Linked DNA regions of Daphnia pulex. The protein of the gene in region 1 purifies or fractionates together with the protein of each later gene. This does not show direct contact. Links are inferred from orthologs where the notes say so. Each region holds a gene or a part of one and is shown in the gene's direction. Other genes may lie near its edges.

Region 1 (7,351 bases):
AATTTGGCATAGGCGTGTCAGTGCAAACAATACAGCACAGGGAGGCAAGAAATTCCCCTTGCGTTCCGTTACCTAGGCAATCTTATCTCCAACAAGTTAAATATGTACAGCTCAAGTGTTTTGGATTGTAAAAATAGGAATTTGGTTTATGGCCAAGCAGTCAAATTATAATGGTTGAATCTATCAACAGTTGCTTGAAACGATAGACTTTCATCTTGACTCGTTTTTAATTATTCATTGATTCAAATTAGCCAGATGCGCAACTCTTATTCATCGAAAAAGAACATATTCTTTTTGCACCTAGTATAAAATTAGTTTTAGCAGAGATAACAGATCAGAGATAACGAAAACAGTACGCAACCGTCGTTGGGACATCTAGTGTCAAAATAATTATAAAAGATGATTCAATTAATAACCTACAAACCTCTAGGATGAAAAGGTAAATTGGTTACCGCCACTGAAGAGAATCTGGACGCCTAAACATAAAAAATAGCAGGTTAATCTATTCAAAACTCTAATCAGAACTTCCTAATATTCACTTTAAGTCATGTTGATGACGGAAAATTCAAATTGATGTATTTGAGAAATGGTTATTTACAAGACGGTCATTTCACGATGATTCAACAACAGATATTGAATCATTTTGAACCTGTGAACCTATTGAATTAAGTGTTTGTCTGGTGAATTTTTTGCCACTTGGCTACTAACGACGTCATATCTGATGACATTTTTGTCCGTTTAATCCCCTTGACGGGTTCGTTACTCGTTTCTTCTTCTACGACCAAAGTAGTCGACTCGGCCACTGAGGCGATTGCTATCTCTGCTGGTGTTGCAACCTCCGGTGCTACTGCTGGCTCGACTGGGACGACTGGTGAATTGGGTGTAACAGTATCCAGAGAAGCCAGATCGGTGTAGAACGAGTTCAATGCCGAGTCTAAACATTCTGCAACATCTTCACTTTTGGCAACTACAGTGCATTCTGCAGGCGGGGTTGAGGGTCTCTCACCGTCCGAATCTTCTAGCACCATATCGATGACTTGATCTTGATGAGTTTCTGGTTTGACTGTTTCTTCTTTAAACTTGTTTTCCATTTTATCCAGCCATTCTTCTAGAAAATCTGTCTCGAGTTTCTTTAGGTTCCAGGCTTCTTTCAAGATTTCCAACTGGGCAGTTAATTGTTCAGTTGAAATTCCAATAGAGGGTAGTTCCTGCGAGCTCAAGTGATTCTCCAATCGTGTGATTTTTTGGGCAACAGTTAATGGAGCAACTGGCGGTACAACCACTAATGGTTTCAGGATTTCTCCTGCAATGAACTGGACTTTTTGAACAGGAGTAGAAACCGGGATATCTTCTTTCTCTTGGAAACCCAATCCCTTGAAAGTGTTGACGATTTTAAGTGGCGAATCTGGTCTCACCTCGAGATCGAGAACGGGATGGTGAGTAAGAGGGAAAAACTTTTTAAAATCATTGCCGAGCTTCGGGCGCGAGTCGTTGGATTGTTGTGGACGCCTTCGAAATAAAGGAATAAAAGTTTCCGTTTTGTGATCTGGAGGAACTTCCATTTCAATGGCTGCAATAATACTGTCGACATCGATAGTCAAGCGACCGTTGGTTTTGGCCTGTGCTAATTCTGGTCCAGTTTTGAGATTCTTTTCAGAAGCACCGATTTTAAAGCTCACTTTTCCTTCTTCTTTCTTCATTGGTTCAGGAACGTTTAGCTTTTCAACTGTAGGTGTTGATACAGCAACAAAAGTTCTAGATGATTGCAGATGAAAAGGAATTATAATGTTTTCTCACAGTAAATTTAATTTTGAAAATTAGTACTTGATTGGAAGTTCTTGCTTTATTGCAGAATTCCCTGGTGGGACAGCTTTACTTTCTTCCTGGATGCTTGGATTTGTGTTTACTTTAGTTGATGCAACGCTGGACTTAGACATAGGTGGTTTTAGCAGGTCCTGGGGTTTTTCCCAAGTCAGCTCGTTTGTGAGTGTATGCCAAAAGTAAGGTTGTCCTGATTGAGGATCCCATAGCTCTTGCCAAACTATTTTTAAATAAATTTTTAGAAAAGTAAATTCAAGGGTTAAAACAAAAACATTTACCCGAAGGAGTTGTAGGTGCTGGAACCTCTTCCGTTGATTTGATTTCATTCATAAAATCTTTAAATTCCGAATCTTCGTCTTCTTTATTGCTATCTTCATCGTCAGAATTGTAGTGTCCCAACAAAGCATGGAGTTTATTGGTTGGTGCACTAGGAGCTACAGGAGGATTGCCCATTGGAGGGTTGTTTTGAATTGAAGGACTCTGCGATCCTTCAGTATCGTTCATTAATTTTTTACTTTAGTATTTTACGGACAAAAATGATTTACCTTCATCATCAAGCTGAAGAATTTGTCTTCTATTTTTAGGTCTCCATCTAGAAGCCATTTTGTATGCACTTTCAAGTATTTTGTTTGTCTTTCTATGTCAATAATGCTTTCGCGTTTCTTTCGGTTTGTCAAAAAATAAACATAACATTTTTCGTCTGCTGTTCATGAAATCGATGTTTTCAGGTTTTCATATTTGGATTTTAACATTAAAATACACGATTTCACCTTTTAAAAAATGTCTTTAAATTTACACAAAAAATGTTCTCCACTTTTGCTGTAATTAATGTAAAATTTCCAAGGTTTTTTTTTCCATTTTTCATTTTTTAGACTTGAAAGTCCGCCGCCATGCGGATATAACAACCAATCAAACCATTGTAAAATTTAGCCGACTTGTTTTCCGTCTGCAGTTGAAAATCTCGTAAATCGAGGTTGCTTTAAGTCATAATTATTTACTCGCTCCCGGTTAAAGAATTTCAACTGAAAGTACTTAGTGTATGGGGAATTTACAATAAAGAATAATCGCCAACGATAAATAGTTACGATTGATTTGCAAATTTTATGATGCATCTGCACTTTTAAACATGTAAATTATCATTGCAGTGAGTTCTGAACAAGGATCGTGGAGCAATATCGTTTTCCGATGTGCAGTAGCAACTGGAGCTCATCCCATTGATCTTACCAAGACACTGATACAATTAGGGCATGAACCCTTGGCGCCAGTACCTACCAGGACATTTTTTGGTAGACCTGCTCTCGGTCTTCCTAATGTGTTCCAATACAGTAAGAAAGAGAGAGTGTACTTGAAACATGTTTTGCAATCTAATGTGATCTGTTTTTTTTCTTATTTTCTAGTTGGATACATAAAGAAACGAGATGGATTTTTCGGCCTCTACAGAGGACTTGGTCCTAAAATGTGTGCAACCATCATTAAAGGCATGGCATTTCAGAAAGCCACTGAATTATTCATAATTCATGTGGAAGGCAAAAAAGAAAAGTATGTGACTCAATTCACATTTTTATCATTATGTGCATGTAATGTATTATTACCTTTTGTAGAAAAAGGGACCCATTCACAGCTGATGATGAAGAAGAAGAGGAAGAAGTGGCGGCTGATGAAACATTCTCGACATTCGCGTTGACTCTCTGTCGTAACGTTACTGCCACTACAGCATCTATTATTGCCAGTCAACCTTTCCACGTTATTGCCGTACGAACCATGGCTCAATTCGTCGGGGAAGAGCAAAAGTATACGTAAGTAAATTCTCTCGATAGTCGCATCTTTTGGCAATTAACTAATACCCCATCTTTGTAATCATAGTGGGGTCTTTGCATCTGCAAAAGAAATTTACCATGAGAGTGGGATTGCAGGATTTTTCCAAGGAGTTACCCCTAGAATTATTGGAGAACTTTTGGCACTTGTGCTGGCTTCGTCCGCCAGCTTTACTGTCAGTACATATATTCTCGGTGACCCGCGCTACAGAGCAACTCTTAAAACAACTTTCGGGGTAAAAACAAACCTTGGATGATTTCACTTTTGATTTTTTGTTAATTGCTCTAAATTTTTCCTTTCAAGTTTTTGTCAACGTCGCTGACGTATCCGTTCCATGTCATGTCTGCTTGTATGGCAGTAAACAATTCTGGTTTGGCCGCTGGTCAACCCCCTCACATGCCCATCTACGTCAATTGGACCGACTGCTGGTCGCATTTGTCGCGCACCAATCAAATGAAACGAGGCTCGTCTATCGTTTGGCGTTACTACACTGGAACAACTGCCGTTTTGCGGCCAAATTAAGTTCCAGTCGGCTAGACTCTTGGATACGGAGGTGATTCTAATCAGGAGGATTTCAATTATTTGTTTTCTTTTCGAATTTCGAAGTCGAATAAGAGCATAGGATCATTCAAGTATGTTCATTCACAATCTCTTTTTTCTTTGTAGATTTTGATAATTTCTTGATAGATTTGGGGTCTGGAAAACTTATTTTCCTGTTCTTGAACTTTCCCGGTAGAATGGTCAATCATAATTTCTCACATCATGTTAGTTTCAATAGTAGTAAACCAGAAGGATCGCACATGAAAATTGTCCAAACAGTGAACTCCCTCGACAAACTGTGTGACCCGCTAACTCATCTGCCGTCATGAAAATAAAAACCAATTAGACCTTACGAAATGTATCATTCTGTGCGTTGCTGTACCTTGACAGAACGTATGTATACGACTATTGTCCGTACTGAAGGACGCACTGCTTGATGATTTGGTTTAATAATTGATCTTGTTCGATTTGTGACGCTCGGCCATCGATCTTCCAGTTCAATTGAAATGGAGCCTGGATCTTACCAACTGAAGCTGCTCATTCGCAATCGATTTGGAGTTCTAGGTTAACGCGTTTTGTTTGCTCCCTTTACCATTTGCCAGCAAATGTCGTCAAGCAATCAGAGTATTTTACAACCAGAGTTAAAATTACAGGAGGATTTGGCTGCCTTCAAAAAGAATGTAGACAACATGTTCCTTATCACCATGGGTATCTTCGTCTTTTGTAAGTTTTGGCATTTTTCTCAATTTAATTGGTTTTTAAAGTCATTTTTTATTTTTTAAGGTTTACAAGGTGGATTTGCATTTTATGAATCATCATGTGTCCGACCCAAGAATGTCATCAACGTCCTGTTTCGCAACTACGTCGATTCAAGTAATTATTAATCTACCAGATAAAATTATATTGCTGTTTGTTGGTTTCATTTAAAAGGTATCAGCGTGATATTTTACTTCTTGACGGGCTATGCGTTAACATTCGGTGGGGGTGAAAATGGCTTCTGTGGGACGCGATATTTTGCTTTGGTAGGCCTGCCCGAGGACAAAATGGCACATTGTTTTTTCCAGTACACGTTCGCAGCCACGGCAACATCAATCGTGAAAGGAATCGTGCACGAACGCTGCACTACCACGGCCTTTCTTTGCTACACTTGTTTGATTTCAGGTTGTGTATAATTCCTTGCTTAGAATGTATATACCTAAAACTCACGCTGCCTCTTTACATTTCAAATGTTTAGGCTTCACTTACCCGGTTTCGTCTTATTGGGCGTTGTCAGAAAATGGCTGGCTTAAGGTATTGGGTTTCGAGGACTTTGCCGGAAGTGGATCAATTCATGCGTATGCTGGGGCAGCAAGTTTAGCAGCTGCCTACATGACCGGCCCACGACACGATCGATTCGAAAAGGACGGGAAAATGAACAACATTCCTTTCCATTCTGTTCCGGTCATTAAAACCTTGTTCCTGTTAAGAATTAATCAAATAACTCGGTTATTTTTTTTTAACCTATCCGGTTTAGCAAGCGTTTTTAGGCTCGTTCTTCTTTGTTTTGGGTATGCTCGCTTTTAACACAGGATCAAATGGATCTATTACAAATCCGGGAGACGGAATTGTAATAGCTAAAGTTGCCATCAATACGATAGTTTGTGTTTTGGCCAGCTCAATGACAGCCATCGTTTTCCAGCGTTTTGTTTTTGAACGCTCTTGCTGGAATTTTGAAGTTGGGCTAAATGGCAGTTTTATTGGAATGGTAAGCATTATTCTTGCGAAGAGTGTGTATATTATAGCTTTGCATAACCTCAATTCTCAACTGAATCACAGATAACAATATGCGCTGGATGTAACCAGTATCAGAATTGGACTGCTCTAATTGTCGGATTTCTGAGTTACTTTGTCTACCTTATAGCACAGAAAATAATCATATTTGCCAAAAGTAATTTTGTTTTAAAAATAATGTTGTAAATTGAAAAATAATTAAACTTGAATTTTCAGTTGATGATCCTGTCGGAGGACTAGGAGTACAAATGGGAGGTGGATTTTTTGGTTTAGTCTTCGCCGCCCTATTCAAAGATGACGGTGTATTCCTTCAGCCATCGATGTCCAGCGCAAATGTATAAGCAAATATTATACCTTTCTTGTTTGAAATTGCAATAATGTTATTTCTGTTAGACCTTACTGATTAATACGGTGGGTGGAATCACTATCATGATATGGGGTTCTGGAACCATTACCTTGCTCTACGTCGTCCTACGCTACTTCAATCTTCATCGCATCAGTCTCTCCGAGGAACAAAATGGTAAATGATTTAATCTTGTAGCTTGTTTGCATCATTACTGGAATATTTGTATTGCGTTGTAGGGCTGGACGAGTTAGTTCACAAACAACAAGCCTACTGTTTTGAAGATGTGTTGGAACACCGGAGTGTCTACTCCTCTAGTAACTAAAATAATTCATTTCCTTTTTAATTTTTGCAAGTGTATTCATCCAATTAACTTGTGTCCTAGTGATTGTCCGACCAGCCAAGCGTTCCCATTCAATGGATGGAATAAATCGTCGAACACGATAAAAATGTATTTCCGCCAACGCAAGAAATGAAAATAGGAACGATTGTAGTTTATAGACGACTTCGGTTAAAGTTGTTTTTGCACTTTGTGCTTGTTGTTCAGTTCAACTAGAAATAGAACGGAACCACATATCTTAGATTAATTGATTCAATAAATATTTTATTTGTGGTGTGCCACAAGCTGACATCAGGTACCGAGTTGTCAGAAGGTAGGTATGACTCTGATCAATCATTTATAGAATGGAGCATATTGTGGCGTCCAGAAGTTTCCTTGGTGAGTATATTCTTTTTTGAAAAGTTGTAATATCAAGACTTGATTCATTAATTATGGGCTAGTCGCCTTCGTCATATCCTTTTCTATTTCAGTTGATGGATTCTGACGTCAATGATGTAGCGGAAAATGGGGTGGATGCGTTACCGAATAGACAATAACTCTGGAGATCTTGCAATTAGCGCGAGTTGACCATAGGTTCGAGTTGGAAGATGGTGGTGAACGAAACCTACTCTTTACTGTTGGTCGAACAACAGGAATTGGAGAACCTTAAGAAGAATGTGGACGATTTATTTCTTATCATCATGGGCAACTTTGTCTTTTGTAACTATTCATTTCTACTTTAA
Region 2 (7,048 bases), on another chromosome or scaffold:
CATCCAAGTCATCGGCGAGTTTCCTCTTTTGACGAGCTTTGGAGGCATCCAACGTCTTTTTCACCTGGGCAGCGTCGATTTTGGCAAAGTCCTTGTCGGTGAGGATTCGACTCAAGCTCACAGCGGCCGCTTTCGATTTCCTTTCTTCAATCAGCGTAGGATCCTCGGCAGCTGGAACAGTCTTCTTCTTGCTTCTTTTTAAATCTTTGTTGATTCTCTTTTGCTTCTTCTTTTCTCTTTTAGACAATGGGCGGCTGATTCTTGTTTCGATCGTGCCGCCATCCTCAGATTCCTCTTCATCGCTATCCCCCTCTTCATCGCTGCCGTCTTCTTCGTCACCAGAAGCTTCTGATCCATCCTCATCGTCGTCTTCATCACTGTCGTCTTCTTCTTCATCATCATCGTCGTCTTCTTCGTCGCTGCCATCGGCTTCCGAGTCACTTCCAACCTCTTCGCCGTCATCCGAATGAGATACATTAACCCATCCTTCGTCATCGGATTGAGTTACATCCTCCCATCCATCACTTTCATCTTCGGCTGCCGACTCTTCCTTTTCGTCATCCGCGGCAGCACCTTCAATATCCGGATTGAGTGCCTCTGCTCCAGGAATATAATCCTTGGCATCCACAGCTCCGTAAGCTCTACATTAGTGGGTGACATAAGGTAAACGTTGTTAAAATGTCTCTTCTTCTGCCTTGTCCACTGTAATATTATTATGCTATTATTCCATGTTATTACCTGATAGCCAACTCGCTCATAGCTTCGGTCGGCCGCCCCTTGAAAATGAAATAAAATGAAAGACATGATTAAGGATGCCAAAGAAAGCTTAAATATGACGTATCAAGACAAAAATTATTCTCGCATAAATACTCTTTCTTTGCGCGGCAGCATTTCCGGGTTGATGATGCGATACAACTGCAGAATAGACCTAGAGGCCATCATCACACTCTTCTGTTTAGAAGTACGGTACTCGACAAGTTCACGAAGCAATTCGGCGTTCATTACCAGTGGGCATCTTGCACAAATCTCTCTTATCGAGTTCAACCTGATTCGAACAGAACGCGAGTATTATATATAAATGCAAATGCGCATGAAGTGTAAATAAATAGCCCTCACCCAACAGCCATTACTTCGGCGGAATTCCGCTCTGTTACGAAATTGTTGACAATGGCACTCACAACCGACTCTAGAACATCAGGTGGCAACAGCTCGTGGGAAGCCTGTGCAGCAAACAGCAACATTTTTGTAACATCTGTCAAGCAAAAAGATATTAAAAAGAGTTTTTTTAATGTTCAAAAACGGATCGGGTGTATCGAATAGGTTTCCGTTTCCGTTAACGGTTGTCACTTGACAGTTAAAACAATAGGTTGGTAATCACCTCTCTGGTGTGGCTGTAAGAAACGATTCAAGTACGGGTAGAAATTAAAGATGAATAACTGGTGGATTCCTATCAGACGCGAAATCACATCCAAAGCCATGACTTTCACTTCAAACCGCTCGTTCATCCCTTCCACATGTTTAAACAACTGTTCGGCGAAACCTTGAGAAGAACAAACAATCTTCAATATGCAGAACGGAACTTTAATTTAATAATAACGGAGAATTATTTACTTTGAGGATCCCGGACCAAGTGTATGGCGGAGAAGTTAAAAACAGGGGCCTTCTTGGAATTGCTGCGTTTCTGGATGACAAAACAAAGCTCACAATTAATTTACTGGTCTCGTGATTCGACGACCAAGGGAACCAATGGACTGTAATCCGAACCTTTAAAGTCTTCTTCACTCTCTCCATTTGTTTTTCGCGCTTTCGGGACTTCTTGTTCACTCGAGCGGCCATACCGACTTCCTTGATAATGACGTTATCATCCTAACATGCACGAAAATAATGTTTAAAATACAGTTGTAAAATTTAAGTTGGAAAGAAATTTCTCTGCTACCTCTGCGTCACTATCTGAATCTTCTTCTTTTTCGTCAGAACCCATAAAAAATTGTAAAGCTGCCACCATTATCTAGTCATTACATAAAAATAAATTTTATTATGTTTACAATGTAACTTTAAAATGTTGTAAAATCTCACCTTTGTAGTTTTTGACAAACATGCAGTAGCAATAACATTAACAGTCTTTTGGTCATTCCAAATATTTTTCTTGTAAAGGTCAATCATTACATCCTACAAAGAAGTATAAAAATATAGACTTACAAATACTAACATGAATAACATTTCAAACTTACCAAAGACATCTTTGCTGCAGTGACATTTGAATCTTTAAGCATTGCAAACATGAAATTTTGGAGAACCTATGGGGAAAGACTTTGGTTAGCGTAGACTTCAATTTAGAGTATTTACATAATAAAAAAAAATACTTACATTATTCAGCTTAATGTTCTTTGATTTTGAATTCACATTCTTAATGTCTGTAATGATGTGATTTTTTAAGAAAGCTCTCAGTTCCTTGTCAGGGCAACGAAGAAGCTGGAAAAATAAAGTCAACAAAGCTGTTGGAGAAATCAGGTTCTTGTTACGCAGTAAGATAAGAGCTCTGCAGAATGTCTAAAAGAGAAATAAAATTAGATTTGTCTAGGATCTAAGGTGTGATTGCTTACTTTTCTCATGTCAGGGTGTAGAGTGGTTGGATGTCGCTGTAATATATCCATTAGTTCTTGGGCATATCCTACCAAATCTTGAGGAAAGCAATGTGACACCTGGATAAAAAGATTCACGTCAATTTTGATCAAACTAATGTATCTGTTTGCAGGAGAAGTTTTAAATCCAAGTCAAGTGTGTAACTTTATACCTGAGCTAGAAACATTACTAAATCATCCAGATCTTTATTATACTGATCTGGTTTCATTTCAAAGACCAGTTTTGTTGAAATGTAATGGCGATACTGCTGCATAAACTGTTGATGAAAAGATTAATTGTCAGTTAAATAAAAATTGGGCAAAATGTATAGCAAAAATATTAAAAGTTGGTTGACAGCCATACCTCATCTTTGTAGGACGCTGGGTCTCGCTTAAGCAAGTTCTGTAACTGCGGTAAATTTGTAGGAAGCTGATTATTGTGTCTCACCATTTTAAGTGAACAATAAGTAATCACACTATTTTAACAACGGATATTTTTTACAAGCTTTTTAAACAATCTTGGAAGAAACAAGAAACTGGGGAGTTTTGCGTTGTAGAGCTCCACCACGTGTTAGTGTAGCTATGACAACTGAAGTTGTCTGCTATTCGTTGGCCAATTCGTCTGCTTCCATTTGCGGCTGCACGGGAGTCGACGCACGGCAGCTTGGTGAGAGGCATCATATTTTTAAAAATATAATCAAAAGTTTTATCAATTTTTTATTTCTGTTTGGTTCATCACTTGTAGTAATTGTGAAAATAAAAATGGCAGAGTCTCGTACATCTCTAAAACCAGAAGAAGATGTCCTTTCACGACGTGAACTATATGTAAAATAATAGTCAGATTATGCAATAATTTGCTTGATATTTAATTATCGAAATGTATATTTTGTTATAGAAATTCAGTCCAGAGGAACTAAGAGTATTGAAAGAATGTAATTATGAAAGTTTCTACTTCAGAAGTTTACCTTTGGGAACCATACTTGGAGCTGTTGCTTTTTATGGAGTCAAATCGGGTTAGTAATTATTACTCAGTGTAAATTTTTCTATCATAAATATTCATTATTTTTGAAAATTAACAAGATGGTAACTGACATTTGTTTGTATGCAGGTTATTTTAAGGGTAGCACCAGATGGGGTCCATGGCCTAAAATCATTATAGGTGCATCAGTTGGGTACTTTGCTGGAAAGTTGTCTTACCAAACAAAATGTGCTGAAAAATTGATGACTCTTCCAAATTCACCACTAGCTGAGGCCTTGCGTCAAAGGAAAGGGAAAAACAAAGGTTTCCAAGAAGTGTAAGTCTATCCTTTTGTTAGCTCGTTATCACAAGTACATAATTTCTTTATGTACTTAAAAACTTGAACTGTAGTTAATTTGATGAACTGAGTGCAATCTTGCCAATTGACAACATTTCTTACATGGTTTGTAGGTTTACTTCAGAACCTATAAATCTAGGACAATCGTCGTATACGTCTGATGCCGAGGGCGGAAATCAACCGGATTATTTACAAGAAATAAGAAGTGAAGATCGGTCGTACGATGCTCCTCCGACTGCTGTTGGACTGAACGATTCGTTTCGACCATCGATGGATTCGTTTGTTGTCTCAGAACAGCCTCTGCCTTCTCCGGTCCAGAGTTCATCGTCGTATGACGATCTACGTCGAAGAAATCGCGAGGAATTCGAGCAGAAGAGACTGGATGCTTACAGAAAAACGGATGGAATCAAAACGACTCCAAATGTTGCACCACCACCCAGCTCGGGTTACGCCGGTCCGCAAAATCTGCCATCGGGATCTCGCACTTCTGACAAGAAAAATCTTTATGGCGATGTTTGGGAAGAGTAAATATCGTAGCCGGATTAGATGTAGGGTAAAAAGCATCAATTGAATCGCCTTTATATTTTTGTTTACTTTTGTATTTCACAATTTCAACCCTAACATTATAGAACTATTATAGAATCAGTGAGAAACAAGTTCAGCTGTTTATTTCTCATGATAATTCATATGACTTTAAAAGTCTTCCTGTATGAGTGCACTACTTGTGCATGCACAAGTCAAAAAGGGTAAGTGGTAATTGTCATTGGTCGAGGTTAGCTTTGTTTTGTTTTGCCCTATCCCTTGGACGACAAAGTGTTATTGACCATAGCTAGATTCGCTATTGTATTTGAAAAGTAAAGAAAAAAAAATCTCGAGGAATAGTGGTCATTCAATTTGTATTTGTAAATGTAAACGTAGTCCAAAGGAATTAATGACGTAGGCACGTAGCCACAACTTGGTGGCTGTTACGTTGCGTCGTTGAACAACTATTCGCAATTTAGGAATTATAGCCCTTGAATCTGTAATTTCACTTTGTATTGTAACTAACTTTACAACTTTTAGGAGGAGAGAGTCAGTGACATACAATAAGTGAAGGTGACCAACTTTAAATTGATATACCGGAAAAAATAATTTAATTGCCAATCTTTTATATTTTCCTGCATACTTCTTTACAGCAAGACGGTCCTATTATAGAAGATTTTTAAAAATAACACCATCCGGTTTACCGCTTAGAAGCATAAATTACAATCTTCGTGTGAGACCATGTGCGGATGTGCCTAAGTGTTCCGACATTTGGTTCTGAAAGGATCGAACGAAAGTGAATCTGGCATTTTACAGTACAAAGGCACTCGAGCACATCATCAATCATCTCACTGTTTCTTTTTTGATACGATTCCTTACACCACAGTTAAGCCGAGTATTCCAATTTGCTTATTCTTCTCTAATTTTGGTCCACTCGTCGTTCAAGGAAAAATTTTGCAGGAAAAAGAGTAGTACGACGTTGTAGTGGAGGCTTCGTGGCCTTAAGAAAGAATGAACTGATGAAACACAGTTTGTGCGCACGTTTCGGATTACTAAGCCAAAAAACTTTATACAGCGCAAGCTAAAAATGATAATTGAAAACAGTTATGGTTATACAGAATCGTTCACAATAATTCTCATCGGATCTTGAAAACAGAAAATAGTAAGTGGTGTTTTTAATAGTATACAACATTTTAATCGTCAGTTGCTCTCCCCAATTCGGCTCGCAGGAGACTAGAAACCGAGTTCAATCCAGTCCCCATATGTTATGTCATTTTTGTCATTATTGCGAGAAAACGTTTACGAAAAGACAAAAAGAAAATAATAATCTAAAACGTGATGTTTCTTCGTGAATCTTCGGAAGTTACTTGTTAGCTTGCAGTCGTTTTATTCTTTCGATTATTTGAAGTGGAGCCAGCAGCAGTATTTTTCTCCTTCTTTTCTTTTATTTTACTAAAAACAAAAAAGGTAATTCATTCATAATTAGCGCACGGCACTTTTTTCGTTTCATGTTTAATTTACTTCTCTTGTTCACTACCTGTTGCGTTCATTGCCCGGAACAAAACTGGGACCAGGGACGAGTTTAGGTTGATGCTTGGGTCCGTGTTGACGTTTCCTTCCGGATCGAGCTGTCGTTGGGCTTTGGAGCTCAGCATCGTTTGCTGTGAACGGCAGTAACAAATCAACTACACCACCTCGTTTCTTGTCACGGTTGCGGTTTTTGTTTCCCCTGTGGTCTACTGGATCATTGGAACCTAGTGATGCCGTTGGATTATTTTAACAGATACTAAATTCCATTAGGAGTCATAAGTTTGAAGAGATGATGTGAAAAAGTGAGAAAGGATATACGGTTGTGAAAGCCTAGTTAGTGTATGGTCAGTGCAACACGTCGTTTGGTGTATAGTTTGTGAGTAGAAAAGCTATGGTTATGCTATTTAAAAAATAGCTATTGGATAGTGACGCACCTTCCCAAGACCAAGGAATATTATTATCCGTATCTGGTAAATGCATTTGACGGGATCCAGTTGGCCGCGGTCCTCTTACTCCGCAGCACCAATACGGTAACGGACGATTAAGCTGCTGCCACGTCCCGGCACCACTCGAATCAACGTCAGCAGAAGCCAGTCTGAGGCCTACTGCAAAAGGAGATGTAAGCAACAGACACCCAGCGCAACGTGCAGGAGGTTGAATTCATTCATCGATTTCATGCTCACCAAATTCAACTGAAAATTGCAACTACGATTGAGGAAACTACTCGCGGAAAAAGAGAGAGAAATGTTGGACACAAGCATCATGCAGTAAGTAATAAATGGTAAGCATCCAAACCGTTCACCATGTTTAAGCTGTAGAAGGAATAAGCCGACAGTCTAATTAGATATCTAATAGACCGACCCCAAGTGCTTCGAAGATAGTAGAAATGAAAGCTTTTGGTTCCGCGGACCGTTTATTAGCATCATGGCTCCAGTTTGGAAAATAACGTCAAGTGTCATCAGCATAATAGTAGTAGTACTGTATATATTCAAGTCTTTATAGACAAGTTAGATTTTGGCGATTGCTAAGTAAATGGGTAGATGGTATTCCGAGATAGCA

The links.
Region 2: the proteins of mitochondrial carrier homolog 2-like (region 1) and OCIA domain-containing protein 1-like purify together in Homo sapiens (affinity purification with mass spectrometry; 3 studies listed by BioGRID and IntAct, with this or other methods). This does not show direct contact. The link is inferred for Daphnia pulex from reciprocal best matches to the Homo sapiens genes MTCH2 and OCIAD1.

The regions. Positions count from the first base shown.
Region 1 is NC_060023.1:12,107,082-12,114,432, reverse strand, and holds mitochondrial carrier homolog 2-like, read left to right. Parts: upstream 1-2,722; 5' UTR 2,723-2,900; coding exon 2,901-2,901; intron 2,902-2,966; coding exon 2,967-3,146; intron 3,147-3,218; coding exon 3,219-3,360; intron 3,361-3,422; coding exon 3,423-3,617; intron 3,618-3,684; coding exon 3,685-3,871; intron 3,872-3,939; coding exon 3,940-4,158; 3' UTR 4,159-4,528; downstream 4,529-7,351. Other genes in the region: uncharacterized protein LOC124198180, read right to left, coding at 666-1,755, 1,825-2,041, 2,100-2,309, 2,367-2,424; putative ammonium transporter 1, read left to right, coding at 4,866-4,899, 4,960-5,049, 5,107-5,337, 5,411-5,616, 5,690-5,920, 5,992-6,103, 6,163-6,281, 6,340-6,466 and 2 more; putative ammonium transporter 1, read left to right, coding at 7,217-7,328. UniProt on the Homo sapiens protein: Protein insertase that mediates insertion of transmembrane proteins into the mitochondrial outer membrane. Catalyzes insertion of proteins with alpha-helical transmembrane regions, such as signal-anchored, tail-anchored and multi-pass membrane proteins.
Region 2 is NC_060019.1:8,683,042-8,690,089, forward strand, and holds OCIA domain-containing protein 1-like, read left to right. Parts: upstream 1-3,188; 5' UTR 3,189-3,203; coding exon 3,204-3,288; intron 3,289-3,366; coding exon 3,367-3,446; intron 3,447-3,516; coding exon 3,517-3,634; intron 3,635-3,729; coding exon 3,730-3,916; intron 3,917-4,050; coding exon 4,051-4,465; 3' UTR 4,466-4,593; downstream 4,594-7,048. Other genes in the region: protein SDA1 homolog, read right to left, coding at 1-641, 739-776, 871-1,045, 1,117-1,252, 1,379-1,540, 1,612-1,681, 1,765-1,866, 1,937-2,008 and 6 more; uncharacterized protein LOC124190603, read right to left, coding at 5,830-5,911, 5,997-6,213, 6,424-6,591. UniProt on the Homo sapiens protein: Maintains stem cell potency. Increases STAT3 phosphorylation and controls ERK phosphorylation. May act as a scaffold, increasing STAT3 recruitment onto endosomes. Involved in integrin-mediated cancer cell adhesion and colony formation in ovarian cancer.